Linked DNA regions of Arabidopsis thaliana. The protein of the gene in region 2 interacts with the protein of the main gene of each other region in a biochemical or structural test. Each region holds a gene or a part of one and is shown on either strand. Other genes may lie near its edges.

What was found.
Region 1: the proteins of TPR7 (region 2) and Tic22-IV form a complex in vitro, tested with the Arabidopsis thaliana proteins (one study listed by BioGRID).
Region 3: the proteins of TPR7 (region 2) and TOC33 form a complex in vitro, tested with the Arabidopsis thaliana proteins (one study listed by BioGRID).

What each region holds. Positions count from the first base shown.
Region 1 is NC_003075.7:16,063,747-16,068,689, forward strand, and holds Tic22-IV (Tic22-like family protein), read right to left. Parts: upstream 3,152-4,943; 5' UTR 2,970-3,151; coding exon 2,604-2,969; intron 2,514-2,603; coding exon 2,451-2,513; intron 2,079-2,450; coding exon 2,004-2,078; intron 1,908-2,003; coding exon 1,857-1,907; intron 1,740-1,856; coding exon 1,680-1,739; intron 1,575-1,679; coding exon 1,512-1,574; intron 1,106-1,511; coding exon 1,070-1,105; intron 985-1,069; coding exon 892-984; 3' UTR 691-891; downstream 1-690. Other genes in the region: AT4G33355 (Bifunctional inhibitor/lipid-transfer protein/seed storage 2S albumin superfamily protein), read left to right, coding at 3,351-3,700, 3,813-3,822; FLDH (NAD(P)-binding Rossmann-fold superfamily protein), read right to left, coding at 4,243-4,383, 4,479-4,784, 4,885-4,943. UniProt on the Arabidopsis thaliana protein: Involved in protein precursor import into chloroplasts. Imported into the intermembrane space via the Toc translocon. May be involved in the import pathway used by proteins without a cleavable N-terminal pre-sequence.
Region 2 is NC_003076.8:7,271,018-7,277,090, reverse strand, and holds TPR7 (Tetratricopeptide repeat (TPR)-like superfamily protein), read right to left. Parts: upstream 4,021-6,073; 5' UTR 3,697-4,020; coding exon 3,601-3,696; intron 3,489-3,600; coding exon 3,258-3,488; intron 3,122-3,257; coding exon 3,065-3,121; intron 2,951-3,064; coding exon 2,822-2,950; intron 2,636-2,821; coding exon 2,558-2,635; intron 2,437-2,557; coding exon 2,366-2,436; intron 2,244-2,365; coding exon 2,194-2,243; intron 2,054-2,193; coding exon 1,906-2,053; intron 1,749-1,905; coding exon 1,235-1,748; intron 1,145-1,234; coding exon 1,001-1,144; intron 920-1,000; coding exon 773-919; 3' UTR 512-772; downstream 1-511. UniProt on the Arabidopsis thaliana protein: Plays a role in protein import into the endoplasmic reticulum (ER). May function as chaperone docking protein during post-translational protein translocation into the ER. Chaperone receptor mediating Hsp70-dependent protein targeting to chloroplasts.
Region 3 is NC_003070.9:447,733-452,242, reverse strand, and holds TOC33 (translocon at the outer envelope membrane of chloroplasts 33), read left to right. Parts: upstream 1-1,816; 5' UTR 1,817-1,882; intron 1,883-1,984; 5' UTR 1,985-1,996; coding exon 1,997-2,092; intron 2,093-2,196; coding exon 2,197-2,304; intron 2,305-2,404; coding exon 2,405-2,529; intron 2,530-2,753; coding exon 2,754-3,018; intron 3,019-3,119; coding exon 3,120-3,188; intron 3,189-3,269; coding exon 3,270-3,431; intron 3,432-3,509; coding exon 3,510-3,578; 3' UTR 3,579-3,820; downstream 3,821-4,510. Other genes in the region: AT1G02290 (uncharacterized protein), read left to right, coding at 266-1,597. UniProt on the Arabidopsis thaliana protein: GTPase involved in protein precursor import into chloroplasts. Seems to recognize chloroplast-destined precursor proteins and regulate their presentation to the translocation channel through GTP hydrolysis. Binds GTP, GDP, XTP, but not ATP.

The DNA.
Region 1 (4,943 bases), on a different chromosome or scaffold from region 2:
AAGGAAAATGTCATCAAAAGTAGGATAATAAACTACATATTTCCGCCCAAAAAAAAAAAACTAAAAAAAAACTACATATTTCCACAATTTGATGATCTTTATCAGAAAACGATGCAATCTATGTTAGAAAATAAATTATGTTACAGATTTGTTCACAAAACCTCTACCAACTACAACTTTTGAAAAATTGGTACAAAAGACCATAGGCTACAATTGGTTGGAAGAATAAAGAAGAGAAAAAATGTTAGTAGGTGCAATATGCGACGACGGAGGAAGTCAAGCAAGCAACAAGTTTAGTTCTGCTGTCAACATCGCTTACTTACGCTTCAGGAAAGGATCAATGCTTTTGAAACAATCTCATCTCCTTTTCTTTTTCTTACTTCAACTTGTTTTTTTTAAGGCAGTAACAATTAGTAAGGATGAAAATAATCACATTATCATTAAGCTGAGATGTCAAAGCGATTATGATGAGAGGAAAAGAAAATGAAAATAAGTATTGGTAAGACATCTTAGTTTTAATAATCGTATATCAACCAAATTTGATCAATAATTAGCTTAAACCAACATATCATTTTAGAGGCCTCAACCTCCTTTGAATAATTAGGCTGATACTACATTCTAATGACAGATGAATAACGTACATCTCCACTTTTTAAAACAAACAAGATTATGTTATTTGATTTAGGTATCCGTATATGCCAAATATATTTTTCTGGATGTAAGAACCACGAGTAACATGTTGATGATGTGTTTAAGTGGTAAAAGGAGAGGAGAAAACTAAATTTTGGGACTGTGTTGAGCTCTTTGGGCAATTGATAATATTGCAAAATCTCAAAAGAGGCTGTTTTTTTTTTATCAAGTAAAAATACACACATTGTGTCTATTATGGTTTTACTCTTTGATCAAATCCTGCATGTGTTGTGCATAACTTCTTCCCGGTGGAATGAATATTACATCTTCCCAACCTGAATTCTTCTCGCTCATCTACATTGATTCAATTCAGATTTTTATTAGACTACCAGGTTTTCATACTTTAAGGTTTCTTTAAACAAAGAAGAAGCGTGAGTACCTCCATTTTCCTCAACACATCTTCCAGACTCCCAACCTGCAAAACAAAAAGATTAGTTCCATGGTGAAGATAAGAAAACTCTTAACAAAACCAATGCTGTGAAATTACTTTATATATTGATCTCTGATATGCAACTTTGATAACGATAAACCTTGGAATTCATTTTAACTCAGATATATGAAGGCATGTACAATCTGAATTCCGCTCTTTCTAAAGTTTTCTAAGACTTTTCCCTTTCCCTCGCTGTTCCTTTGAAAACATGGTGTTATATGTTTGCAGAACATGTAATCACAAAAAATGCTAGAAATTACATATGATGCCAACACAGCTACTAGCTACTCCCACTTGTTAGTAAACCATGTCTTTAGATCAAGGTGTTTGTTTCTATCTTACGTGGCCTATCGAAGATTCAAATACATAGAAGGTAGGTATGAATCATTACCATAATTTGTTGATCTCCTCTTGATGCTCTCGTATATTTAGAAAGTTCCCTCTCTATATCTTCCTGAAAGTGGTCACGCAGAACAGGAAAGTAAGAGTTATCTTCCTCTGTTTTGGCTTATGAGAGATCTATTAGTATTCTTTAACGTGGGAGAAGAAACTAACCAACCTTACTGAAATATACAGGGCAGTAACGTCTATTTTTTTTCCTCACAACAAGAAGCTCAGACTGTAGAGGCCAATAACAACAGATAGATATCAAGAGAAAACAAAGCAAAAACACCAAAACATAAGGAATCCATATTGGTATAATAGAAAAACACAGAAAATGAGTATATCAATTTACCTGAAAAACCGGAACTCCATCAAACCCATTCTTATTTCCTGAGGATTTGAGCTGAGACGCAAGAAAATATAGCTTATGGATAAGATTGAAATGCCAAATAAATGCTATAGACACATATAATTAAAAGTCTGTTTAGCATGAGCCAACCTCTAACGCATTCTTTATTTGGATTGGATCTGGCAAGAAGCGAAAGGAAATCCCTTCAACTTTTAGCAAGTACACCTGTAAACAACATCATCTTAACTTCTGGGAATGTAGCTACCACGATTACGCAAATAACATCAAAAAGTTCCCTAAACGTAGTTATAACTTATAAGTTCCAAGCCATTAGAGGGATTATAATCATGCCATCGTTGCATTCTTTCTTGTGACGATGTTGTCAACATTGCTACGTGCACAAGAACACAATCTCCCGTTCATTCAAACTGCCAACAGGTGTTCCTATTACCGTATAATATAAACAACTAAAATGAGGCCAGACATGAACAAGTCTACTTAGAATTTGAGCTCCTGAAATTTGTTTGTTTCATTTGATTTAACCAATGGCTTCTTCCACATTGATCTAATGCAGTGATCATAAGGAAAGGGAACTACCTGGTCCAGAGTAATGGGAACAACCTTCGCATTGGTTTTCAATTCTCTTCTCCGAAGTCGCGCCTAAAGGAGTATATTAGAGAATTATGAGCTCAGAAACTTCACATTTTTTTAAAAAAGTTCGGAGGAGAAAAATACAACAAAAAGCGAAACCTGAGCAAGAAAAGCTTCAGCATCCTCTTGTCGAAAACAGAGCAAACCGATAGACTTGCCTCCGGTAGGATCCGAGATAAGAACGAATTCGTTATTGGTGTTACTGACTGTAAACACCGACGTCCCAGCGAGAGCTTTAGCGACAAGAGATGGACTCAACGTCGTCGTCGGGGTTCCAGACTTGGATTGTGAGACGGAGGCGAAAGGCGGCGGAGTAGGAAGAGAGAAACGTCGAGTAGCTAGGGTTTCGGCGAATCGTTTCGTGTCTTCGATTCGGGCGGAGAGGTCGGAGCTGAAGCGGGTACACTGGTGGTGAATGAAAGAAGAGAAGGAGAGGAAAGGATTGGGTTTCACTGATGACTCCATTTTTGGATTTGCAGAGAGAAGAAAGAAGTAGAAGAAGAAGAAGCAATTTTTGATACTATGAAGAGAGTGAAGAAAAAGGCTTCAGAGCAATTCGTTTGGGCTTTTTTATTTGGGCTTTATTGGACTTGATTGGTTTTAGTTTACGTTTAATATGGCCCTTGATCAAAAGTTTGGTGACAAAGCATTTATTAACTTTCTAAACTCAACTTCCACACCATTCTAAACACATGACATGACTTACAAAAAGCTTTTGTCACTCAAAATTCATGTCGATGACATTTTTTTCCTCCAAATTTCTCCTCCTTATAAAATACTTACTAGATCAAGCAAACAACACACTAAAGAAAACAAAATTGTTAAAACTCTCGTTAACTGAAAAATATGAGGAACATTACTACTACAACCCGAAAAATGTTACTACTTGTGATTACGATTTTATTGGGGATTGCGTATCATGGAGAAGCCATAGCATGTCCGCAGGTAAACATGTACTTAGCACAATGTTTGCCTTATCTAAAAGCTGGAGGAAATCCGTCTCCAATGTGCTGCAACGGACTTAATAGTCTAAAAGCCGCAGCGCCTGAGAAAGCCGATAGACAAGTAGCTTGTAATTGCTTGAAGAGTGTAGCTAATACAATCCCTGGAATTAATGATGATTTTGCCAAACAACTCCCTGCTAAATGTGGTGTTAATATAGGAGTCCCTTTCTCTAAGACTGTGGACTGTAACAGGTAGCTACTGCAGTTTCTTTTTAATATTGCCGAAACATGTGTAGTTGTGAGAGCTTCTAACTACATAATCCTCTAATTGACCTATTTAATTTGTTTTGTGAACACTGAACAGCATAAACTGAAAAGAAGATTGACTACCAACGGCCATGCAGCTACAATAAAGTGGATATCCTAAAAGATCAAAACCATCATGAACAAATTATATGGATACTTAGTATTTATCTTCTGATCATATATGTTATAGATGTAATCATATAGTTCTTGGCAGATAAAATGTGATTATTTCCCACATTTACATATTCCCTCTTTCCTACTCTCACACGTAGCTCAACATCTTAAAATATGATCATCAGCATTTGCACACAATGTTTCACATTTATTTGACATACACGATCAAAACGAAGCAGTTTTGTAACAAGATAAAAATCGATTGGGTTAAAAGTGTAACGGGAGAAGTAAAAATGTAGTCATCACTCATCATAGTGACTGAATTCAAGGGAATATTATTCTTCGAAATACCTGAAAGATGGGAAATTTGAATTTCAGTAGTGAATGACGCCCAGACTCTTCAACCAAGGGAGCATCTCCTCCAATCCTTCCTTTAGGCTTCGAGGGTTATAACCAAGTTCCAGCTTAGCCTTATCACAAGAGTATGACCACTGATGTCTCAGCACTGTCACTGTCTGTTCATCACAAAATACTAAGAGTTGAGATTATTCTATACCTAATAAGATAATCTATAATATGTGGGCAACTAATGAATGCAATTGAAACTCACCGGAGGACTGATAAGTGGAAGCTTTCCTGTAACCCGAGAGATTAAAACAGATAACCATCCGTATGCGTTGATGGCCCATAATGGAATGCTAAAGTTTGGCTTTTTGGTTCCAGTAATCAGTGCAGCCATGTCAAAGACAAGCTTGAAAGAAGCATTTTCCCCAGTGAGTAAGTATCTTTCACCAAGCCTACCTTTTTCCATTGCAGCAACATGACCCTCCACAACATCATCAACATGGCTGAAGGAGTATCTATCCGTCCCAGAGCCAATATATCCAGGCAACCTCCCGTTAAAGCGCTCGATCAACTAGAAGAACAACATCATGTGATAATCAACCACATACTGTCAATGTACCACTACATCATCCCACCAATGCAACTCTAATCAGCAAAAGGAAGAATCATACCATTCTAGCAACCATATTGGCTGAAGTGAGCTTGCCTGGACCAAAAATAACACCAGGAT
Region 2 (6,073 bases):
CTTGTACTTCATCCTTCTAAGTTTTTTCTTTATTTTTTACTTTTGAAGAATGTGTATTCAGTCGTATATTAAAATAATTAAATTATCTAAATTTTGGGTGCACAAAAAAAAATATAATTTAAAATTTAATGAAGTTTTTTTATTTTTTTAATATCTATGAATTTAATAAAGTTTAAGATGATTTTATATACTTATTTCAAAATTTCTCCTCGCAAAATTTGCAAACGTTGGATTGCGAAAAAAAAATTTTTTACTCGAACTTTTCTCTTTAGAACATCTCCAACTCATCTTTATTTTTGTCTTTAAACTTTATTTTTGCCTCTATTTTACTCTAACTCATCTTTATTCTTACCTCTATTATAGAGATCTTTATTTTTTTTCTCTATATATAAAAATAGAAAATAAAAATCTCTATTTTTCCTTCTATATTTATAAAGAAAAATAGAGACAACCATTAGAAATGGTCTTTTCTATTTGCTAAAAGAATCTCCCAACGCAAATAACCAATTTTCTTGTAGAGGCGCTCTACCAGAAGCATAATTATGTTTATAAAATAACGAATATAAGGAAATATTCGTATTTTCTCTAATTTAAAATTCACTACAGAAGAAAGTGTAAAGAAATTTAGACACAAGTGGACTAACAAAAAGCTGAGAGTTAGAGGAAAGAAAAAGAAGATAAAACGATGTTACAGTTTTACAAACTAAACGAACCCACCGAAGACTGGTTTTATCTTCACGAAGGATTAAGCCTTAAGATACCGTTGTTTCCTCTAGTTTCCAATATAGCCGAGACGGTGAAGGACCATTGCTAAAACGAGCATTAATATTGCAAAGATCAATCCGCCTTTTCCGAACAACCACTTCTTTGCTTTCTTCGCTTTCTCCATCCCGGTTTGAGCCCGATCCGCCCATCGCATCTGCAACAACGTGTTTACAATTGAGACAACTATACAATCAACTTTGAATGTTCTTTTGGTTTTACTAAACCGAATTCGTACCATTTTCTCCAAGGCGTCGGGAGAAAGAGAAGCCATGGCTTGCTGAGCTTTTGCAGCGTCTTCTTGAGAAAGCTTCATTCCAAATTGTTCGCTCATGCTAGCCATCATCTCAGGGTTCATGTTCTTTATCATAGACGTGAACATCTACCAATATACAGAGAAACTACTATATGAACATCAACAATCACATTATGTTGACTAAATTGGTAAAACATAAACCGAAAATGATCAAACCTGTCGCATCGCTGGATCTTTCATTTGGTTTCTCATCTGTTCCTGTAAGTCAGCAGGCGGAGCAGAAGGGATGCTTGGTTCGAAACCGCTTCTTGGAGCCACAAAGGAATTTCCCGAAGAACTCCCACTCGCTCCTAAACTTTCCCGTGGTTCAGATGCTTCTGCATTGCCGTATGATGTTGAAGCTGGAGCGTTTGCTTTCAAAGACGATGCCATGTTAAACATCCTCTCACGCTCTTCTGGTGACATCTTACCCATCATATCAGATGCAAGTTTAAGCATGTCAGGTGTGGGTGTAAAACCGTTTTCGGTAGATGGCGCAGTCGGGGCGAAAGGGTTATCTCCTTTAAACGAAGAGGCTGTTTGAACCATTTTTTGAATCTCTTCAGGTGACATTTTGCCTATCATACTTGACGCAGTTTTGAACATGTCCGGTGACATGTCTCCAGCTTTGCCTCCGCTTAGAGCAGCAAGTGTATCGGGATCAGTTTTTGAAATGAAATTCTGGAAAGTTCTGCAGGCCATAGAAAGAATAAAAACAATTAGAAAATCATACTAATCGTGCCAAATGTAGCAGAAAAAGGATGCTTTAGATTATATTTGTCTTCAAGATTAGGAGACAAAAAGATGAAACAACACATCAAACACTAATGTTTGGAAAGGTGTCGAACCTGATTGCTTCTGGATTATCTCTGAGAGCTTGCAATCCATCAACATCAGTCTTTACGCCCTGAGCATGACCATTAGCCTCTTTTGACGGTTTTTTATTCTCTCCGGAAGTAACATTATTTTCTTCAGTTATGTCTTCAATCACCACACCTAATAACCAAACAACATAACATTTTTCAGTTCGTTTCCATATTCATGGACGAAGCATATCATTGATGTAGTAAAGAAACGTCTGGTCTGACATAATACACTGAATTCTTTCGAATAAATCATAAGGAATAATATTATACCTCTTGATGCCTTGCCAGGTCCCTCGACAGCCAATCTTTCCTTAACATCTCTGCATCAGAAAAGATAATACTTCAAGTCAAAAGTTATTTTTTCAATGTTAATATCAAAACCTCTGAGATAAGCAGAACTGAAAAGTATGACATTACCAGTAATGAATATAAAAATCCATACCTTAACACATCGGCAATTGTCTCATCTTCTGGGGAAACTTCATGGGCCTTGCTTAGATCAGAGACGGCATCCTTATAGTTTAAGAGAGTGAATGAGCATTGAGCAAACATATAGTCAGGACATATCTACAGTACAAACATATATATCGACAAGGAATCTCAAGAAAGTTCCATAAGCAACAGAAGAACTCACTTCAAACAAGCCCAAATCTCTGTAAGCTTGACCCCTTCTGTATAGGGCTTTGACATTCCTTGCATCATATCCCAAAACCTGAAATAATGTAAGAATGTAAATTTATCAGAAGAATGTCGAAACAGTTTTGAATAGATCATAAAACGCTGTATGACATCATGTGTTACATCTACAAAAAAGAAGCCAAAAGATTGCCATCTCTCTTTTTCCTAAAAATGTTTTCATCTATGAGTTTTCAGAAAATTAAGAGCATAAAGAATATACCTCAGAACCTTCCTTTATGCACTCTTCATGCTGATTCGTCTTCAAATAACACGACATTAGATTGAGAGAACAAGCCAACAAAATTGCTCCACCTTTAGAAGATGGAATCTCTTTCAGATTGTTCTTCGCCTGAGATATGGTCCAAGAGCATTGTAAACAAGTAGAAAAGAATCGCATATCAGGTTACAAATAAAACTCTTCTTGTCAAGTAGCATGACAAATGAGATACGTCTGCAGACTTACACGCAAGTATTTCTCTGCGGCATCGCTGAAATTTCCTCGGCTATGAAGCTCGTTTCCCTGCCAAACGTAGTAGAAAATGAGATTAACATCAAATTACACAAAGGTCCACTTGCTGAAGCCATTCTTGTTCCTTACTTTATAATCAGGAAAGCAAAATTCAATAGAAAACTTCTCTCAGGAAGTCAATTGTTACCTGTTTTTTAAGCATCTGAGCTGCATTGATCTGATAAGTAAATTGAGCATCAGCATGAGCACGCATAGCTGCAATATCTTCAGGGGAAGCTTTAGCCATCTTCTCGCTAATCTCAGCCATATCTTCAGGCCGAGTATGCTTAAGCTGTTCCGCAGCTTGTTTCAAATCTTCAGGCCTCATGTTCTTCATACTCTCTGTTGCCATATTCATCAAATCTGGATTTGACATCATCTGTATAATAAACAATGGTATAAATTCATCATACAAAGCCATAATCAAATCAAATCAAACAAATTCTCCTCAGAATCGATCGAATAATTCGAATCAGGAAAAATAACGAAACCTGTTGTTGGATCCTAGCGAAATCAGCAGGAGTCATACGACTCATCTGATCTTGAGCGAGCCGAATCATCTCAGGATCCATTAACCCGTTAAACATCGTGTTTTTTTTTCTCGAAGCTTCGATGTGGTTCTCTGTAATCAGATCGGAAACACAGAAAATCGAAATTCGCCAGAGAAGGATAAGCTCGGAATCTGGATCGAGATTGAGTTTGTGAGAATCGGAAAATCGAAGGAGAATTGTTTTGCCGACCCGAAAGTAGTTTCCAATAATATAGAATCGAATTGGAAAATTTATCGCTCAACCTCCTCAATTCACCGACCGGAATATGCCTGGATGATGGAGAATGACTGTTTTACCCTTGATCTACGATGATGCTGTGACGTGCCATAATAAATTAATTTACGTAATTGTATTGATTAACGTAACTATATGATTACGTGCAAATTGTCATGTCCTTGTCCATGTTGGAAGACTAATCTCGTGTTTTTTTTCTTCTTAAACTGAAACGAATCTCTTGTTAAACTCTTTTTTATTTCGTTTTAGAAAGAGTCGTCCAATTTAACTGTTACACGTGTTAAAGTGTCAATAAAATTCAATTTAAATTTGTTTGAGGGTACAAATAATTTTTTGATATTTTAAAATTCTTTAGGGTCTGGATATCGATATCATATGTTTGCCCAGCTACATCTCCATGATATAAGCTCCGAATGGTGATTGCGTTTTGCGGTGCGGGAGAAGTACGGTGCGGTTCAAATAGTAACGAAAATATATAGATACATATGAATATGTAGAGATTTTAATACTGTTACAGTACTGTTGCGGTGCGGTTTTAAGTGCGGTTTTGATTACCATTCAGAGCCATAATATATTTGTTGGAATCCAAAAATGTTTAGTATTCAGTTTCATAGACTCAATCTCTAAAGTAATCCATTTATTAAACTTTAAAATATGCATGTCTTCTGCAGAATTTTTAGTATCTTAAATATCAAAATGATCTTAACAAAAAAATACATATGTACAACTATTCGGGCAAAGAATTTTATTTCAATACGACAATCTTTTCAGTTGTTGAACGAGTTTTAGTGTTTTGACCATACAAAGAAAAAAGACGAGTTTTAGTGACATATAAGTTGTGTTTGGTAATACTTTTTTCAATATTGTTTCGATATAGTTTCATCGACGAGTACATCTATCAATTAATTTTTCTGAAATGTTTATTTCTCTCCACCGCAGCATAAATGTTTCAATGTTTGAAAGAATGGAAACGGTGGTATAGTCACATTAGAAGAGGACCACTTTGACTAAAGCTAGCTACAACTCTCATCTATCTCTCGTCTCCCAATTTTTCAATATTAGCAGAGATTATGATTCACTAAATGATAGCAGTCTGAGAGAAGTGAATGTTGATATGATTTATGATTATCAATTAACTAATCACTAAGTACTATTGCAGCGAGAACGAGGAAATTCTAGCAAACCTCTTCTTCTTGGTCACAATGAAACCAATGGATTAATAAAGTTATATCATATAACAAACAAGAAGGAAACAATATCTTCAACTTATAATTAATAAAGCAATATTGCTAAAGCATTCTGATACATGTTGTGCAACATCTCTCGAAGCTAGATTACAACATGCATGTGCTTCTAAATAGATTACAACAAAGCAACTTTTTAACATGTTTACACGAACCAAAATATGCATACACATATATAGCCTTGATTTTATAATTCACATAGCCCTTGTTATCCTTTAGAATACATCGTAGACACATTCTTACGTATTCTACTATTATATGGCAAAGCAATCTAGGATAATGAGTGAGTTGTATTTTTTGAATGTACCCTCTATTGTACAATGAAAACGAATGTAAATATTCAGTTTTGTTTTTGTTGCCCACATTTTATTGCCGTAAATTGCAAACTATTTTTTTAAAATTGATATGCTAGGGAAAAAATGAGTTAAAGAGCATGATGGAGGAAACAGAAAGAAGAAGGCTTTGAATTTTGATGGTTGTCGGGACGTGGAGAGGATCTCACGTGGCAGTTTCACTCTGATTGGGTCCTAAACCGCCGGCCCACGTGGCATGCCACTTGTCACTGGTACTTCTCTTTCTCTCTTTCACAGCAGCAAGTTGTGTACGATTGCTGTTCTTATTAGGATCCGTCACATCACTTCTCAGCCGGTCAGCCCCCACCTTCCTCCATTAACCCATCAATCCGGTCTTTCGTTTTTGTGTGTATGTTCTGTGGACTTGATTGGTAATTTGGTAACATTTACCATTTGAATGGTTGCTTACTAGCCTAACTTTTTGTTTACAAATGTGCAAAGAAGTTTTTTTTTTTTCTTCGCTTGTAGACTGTACTCTTATTCTGAAGACTAGATTTTGAAGATTCTATGGTGATTTCAGTTTTGGAAATCTTTTGGTGAATGAAGGTTGTTAGAATTTTAAAAATTGCATAATTTTAGCCT
Region 3 (4,510 bases), on a different chromosome or scaffold from region 2:
TTCGTGTTTTATATAGCCTTTAGTGTTGTTGTTGCTGAAATCAGTGAGTAAAATGCTATTTATGTTCGTTTGATTTCTGATTAGTAACATACTCAGCTTCTCGCTGTCCATTGTATTGTAGTAGAATTCTTGTAATGTGAATTGCTGATGATGAGTCTTTAACATTTTCTATCTAGGTATCTCCTGCTTGTGTTCCTTTCTACTGAGTTTGTGGTTGGAGATTTGAAGTACTTGTGTTTTAAGGGTAGTAAGTGGTTAACTACAGATGAATAAGAATCAAACAGTTGGGCTAGACTCTGAAGATGATGACTCTGATGATTACGACATTGCGCAAGTAAACTGTGAGCTAGCTTTGGTTGAAGGTCAGCTCTGTAACATACCATACGAGCTCTACGATCTACCAGATTTAACGGGAATATTGTCTGTTGAGACTTGGAACTCACTTCTGACTGAAGAAGAAAGATTCTTCCTCTCATGTTTTCTGCCAGATATGGATCCACAGACTTTCAGTTTGACGATGCAGGAACTTCTTGATGGTGCCAATTTATATTTTGGGAATCCAGAGGATAAGTTTTACAAGAATTTGCTAGGTGGATTGTTTACTCCAAAGGTAGCTTGTTTCAAAGAAGGTGTTATGTTTGTCAAGAGGAGAAAGTATTACTACTCTTTAAAGTTCTATCATGAAAAGCTGATCAGGACATTTACCGAAATGCAAAGGGTGTGGGTTCAGTATGGAAATAAATTGGGCAATTACTCAAGGCTCCTCATTTGGTCAGGACGAACTCAAACCGGTAATCTCAAGCTACTGGACCTCAATAGAGTTCCATCTAAGGAAATGGATAGTGCTACATGTAGATTCAAAACTCCCAATGTAGTGAAACCCGTGGAAAGAAATAGATCGAAAAGTTTAACCTTCCCTCGCAGTGGCAGCTCCAAGAACAGTCTCAAGATAAAGATAACCAAGGAAGGAGTATTCCGGTATCAAGGTTCCAGCTTAGTTTCTGCTGGCCATCATCATCAGACTTTGCCAAAGGGTGTTCTCAAATTAGTCCCTAAATCTTCTTCTGCCATCCTCAGGAAACCCTATGTAGCTCCAGGAAACAATCTCCTGCAAATCCATGAAACCGGTTCAAAGAGTACTAGATTTGCAGCGTCTCCATACTTAGGTACGACATTTGAGAAACCACCCTACGGAACTCTTGGCTGTTCTATCCCAGACCCTTTCTTAACCTATTTGGAAACTACACAAAGATCAATCCAAGGTACAGAACCGGTGTTTCATGATCCAACACACACTGTTCCCAGTGCTCTCCGTGTTTCAAATTACTCCATCACAGAACAGAATATACCTCTAAAGCAAGAAGAATATGTCCGGTACCACCTGAAGTCTCCTGGTTTTAAGCCTAGGACTGTTGACAGAGGCTCTGAAACAACAGAGAGCAAGAGGATTTCGTCTAGTAATAACTTTCAGAGGGAAGCCAAGGCTCTGAGAAAACCGCTGGGGGTCCTGAGCGAAGACAATCATGCTCGAGAAGCCAATAGTGACCATTTGTTTTCCTTGACTTACAAGCGAAGAAAGGTTCAGAGAATCGCTTGAGCTCCCGTGACGCTATGCTAATTCAATGTTCCACCTAATGTAGTCTTCCATGAAAATATGAAGTGTAATGCTGCAACTTGGTAACTGGATTTGGTTTGGGGTTGAGTTTGTTAGTTTTCAAAATTTGAAGGCACTAAAAAGAAACACTAAAGAAATAGAGGAGTAAAAGTGAAAATAATTTGAACTATTAAACAAATTACCGATAAGGTCACATTCTTTAGCTTTTCTCTGCGGAACACATCGAGAGAGCTTCTTCCAAAAACCTCAAACGCTCCTCACACAACGGTAAGCTCCTCCAAATCTCCCAAAACGTTATCGCTTTCGAAATTAATTATCATCATCGTCATCACTCAGCGATTATTTACCAAAAGAATTTTTTTGCTGAAGGGTTTAGGAGTGATGGGGTCTCTCGTTCGTGAATGGGTTGGGTTTCAGCAATTTCCAGCAGCTACCCAGGAAAAGCTGATTGAATTCTTCGGAAAATTGAAGCAAAAGGTGTGTTTTGTTGTTGTTGTTCCTGTTTCTTTGGTGCTTAAGTCGGTTTCTCGGATTCTCCGTTGTGATTAGGAGATAATGATGGGAGGTTTTTGTAATTGCAGGATATGAACTCAATGACAGTTCTTGTTCTGGGTAAAGGCGGTGTCGGAAAATCATCCACTGTCAATTCTCTTATCGGCGAACAAGTCGTCCGTGTCAGTCCTTTCCAAGTACGTAATTCAGTTTCCCTAAGCTTGATTTTTTTAATTTGGATTAAGAAAGAGTAGTCATTTCAAGATATTTGATGGCTCTGTTTTGTTGATTTTGTAGGCTGAAGGATTGAGACCAGTGATGGTTTCAAGAACAATGGGAGGGTTCACTATCAACATTATTGACACCCCTGGACTTGTGGAAGCTGGATATGTCAATCACCAAGCTCTCGAGTTAATCAAAGGGTCAGTAGCTACTCTTTTGGAATATCTCTTCGTTGATTGTTGCATATAGGATTATCTCATTCGTTTTTGAATTAATTAAGCTAAGTATATATGTGGTTAACATGTTTACTTGTGGGTTTCTGTTGAAATTGTGAATTATGAGTATCTGGTTTACGCTGAAGCTGTATATTGGAGTGTGTGTGGAAGTTTTACGATAGTTGTTGTGTTTCTCGGATTTTGGACAGGTTTCTTGTGAACAGAACAATAGATGTCTTGCTCTATGTTGATCGTTTGGATGTGTATAGAGTCGATGAGCTAGATAAGCAAGTTGTTATAGCAATCACCCAAACCTTTGGAAAAGAGATATGGTGCAAAACCTTGCTTGTTCTGACTCATGCTCAATTTTCCCCTCCCGATGAACTTTCCTACGAAACTTTTTCCTCCAAGAGATCAGATTCTCTCCTCAAAACTATCCGGGCTGGTTCTAAGATGCGAAAACAAGAGTTTGAGGTATGGTTATTTATACATATACCTGTCTCCGAAAATTGTTATACCAATGTATGTTTGGTTCATTGTAGCAAGAATCAGTTTCATTCTTTACTGGCTTGTAGGATTCTGCAATCGCGGTAGTCTATGCAGAGAACAGCGGAAGATGCAGCAAGAACGATAAGGACGAAAAGGTTTGTGTTTTCGAATCTCTGATTTGATCCGACTTGGAGAGAGACTGACTGTTAAAAGTTGCTTACCTGCTCTCGGTTCAGGCTCTTCCAAATGGTGAAGCGTGGATCCCGAACTTGGTTAAGGCGATAACTGATGTAGCAACAAACCAGAGGAAAGCAATTCATGTAGACAAGAAGATGGTAGATGGATCTTACTCTGATGATAAAGGAAAGAAACTCATCCCTCTTATCATAGGCGCTCAGGTAAGAAAGAGACACAGTTTGATTTATTGTCTTGTTCGAATTTGGTAAACAAGTGAAATCCTTTCTTCTACTTTGCAGTATTTGATCGTTAAGATGATTCAAGGAGCAATCAGAAATGATATCAAGACAAGTGGAAAGCCACTTTAAGAGGCTCTGAAGAAGAGGTTTTGTTGTGAGCAAATTACAAGGAGAAGAAGAGTTTTTCGATTGTTCTTTCTTTTGTTAGATTTTATCTGCAACATTTTCTTGTTTCCGGCTTTATCTTTGTCTGTAATTTATGGAGATTTGTTCAAAGAAAAGATTGCCATGCTTTCTGGTTAAATGAAATGGATGTTTCCCAATCATAATATCACCAAAAAAAGAATATATTATGTTCTGTAGATAAGAAAAACAAATGATCTGCTAAAGTCTGTTTTGAATCAAACAAGTCTTTTAGCTGATGGGATTAATTGTTTGCATCCTCGGGTGATTACATAAACACAGATCAACAGAAAACTCGGCATAACCAAGGCCGCTTCTATCTCCCACAGGAAGACTAGCATTGGTAGCCTGATGTCAATGTCTGTTAGATCATCAATCACTGCTGCTTCTGTTCCATTATAAACAGTTTATTGAGAATTGGTTCGGAATCATCATCATATCCATCTCTTATTTCCTAATACTAATAGACATGAGTGTTTGTTTGTAACAGAGGTTTAAGAAATAGATCGTCCCGGTCCCACATAATCTAACAAACTTACCGTTTAGATTAGATAATCACCATCAGATCTCACAGTTGCAATATGATGAAAATAGACGGTCCAGATTTCTCGAACGTTCTCAAATAAGAAAAAGGAAACAACTGTTGAAGATAAAAGGAAAGTAGGAAACAATCGAAATTTGGATATGGTAATAGTCATTTTGACATGTGCAATCTTTTTAATATGTTGTAGTACCTGAAAGAAGCTGGATGGGCTCAAGGAGACCGAGTTTTTGCTTGTACCAGCCAAGACCTTTAGCTGTCCCGATTTGTTTTTGGATCATATCACAAGCTGCTGCATGAGGTATTGCTTTCTTCATTTACTTTTTTTTTTAGTAAT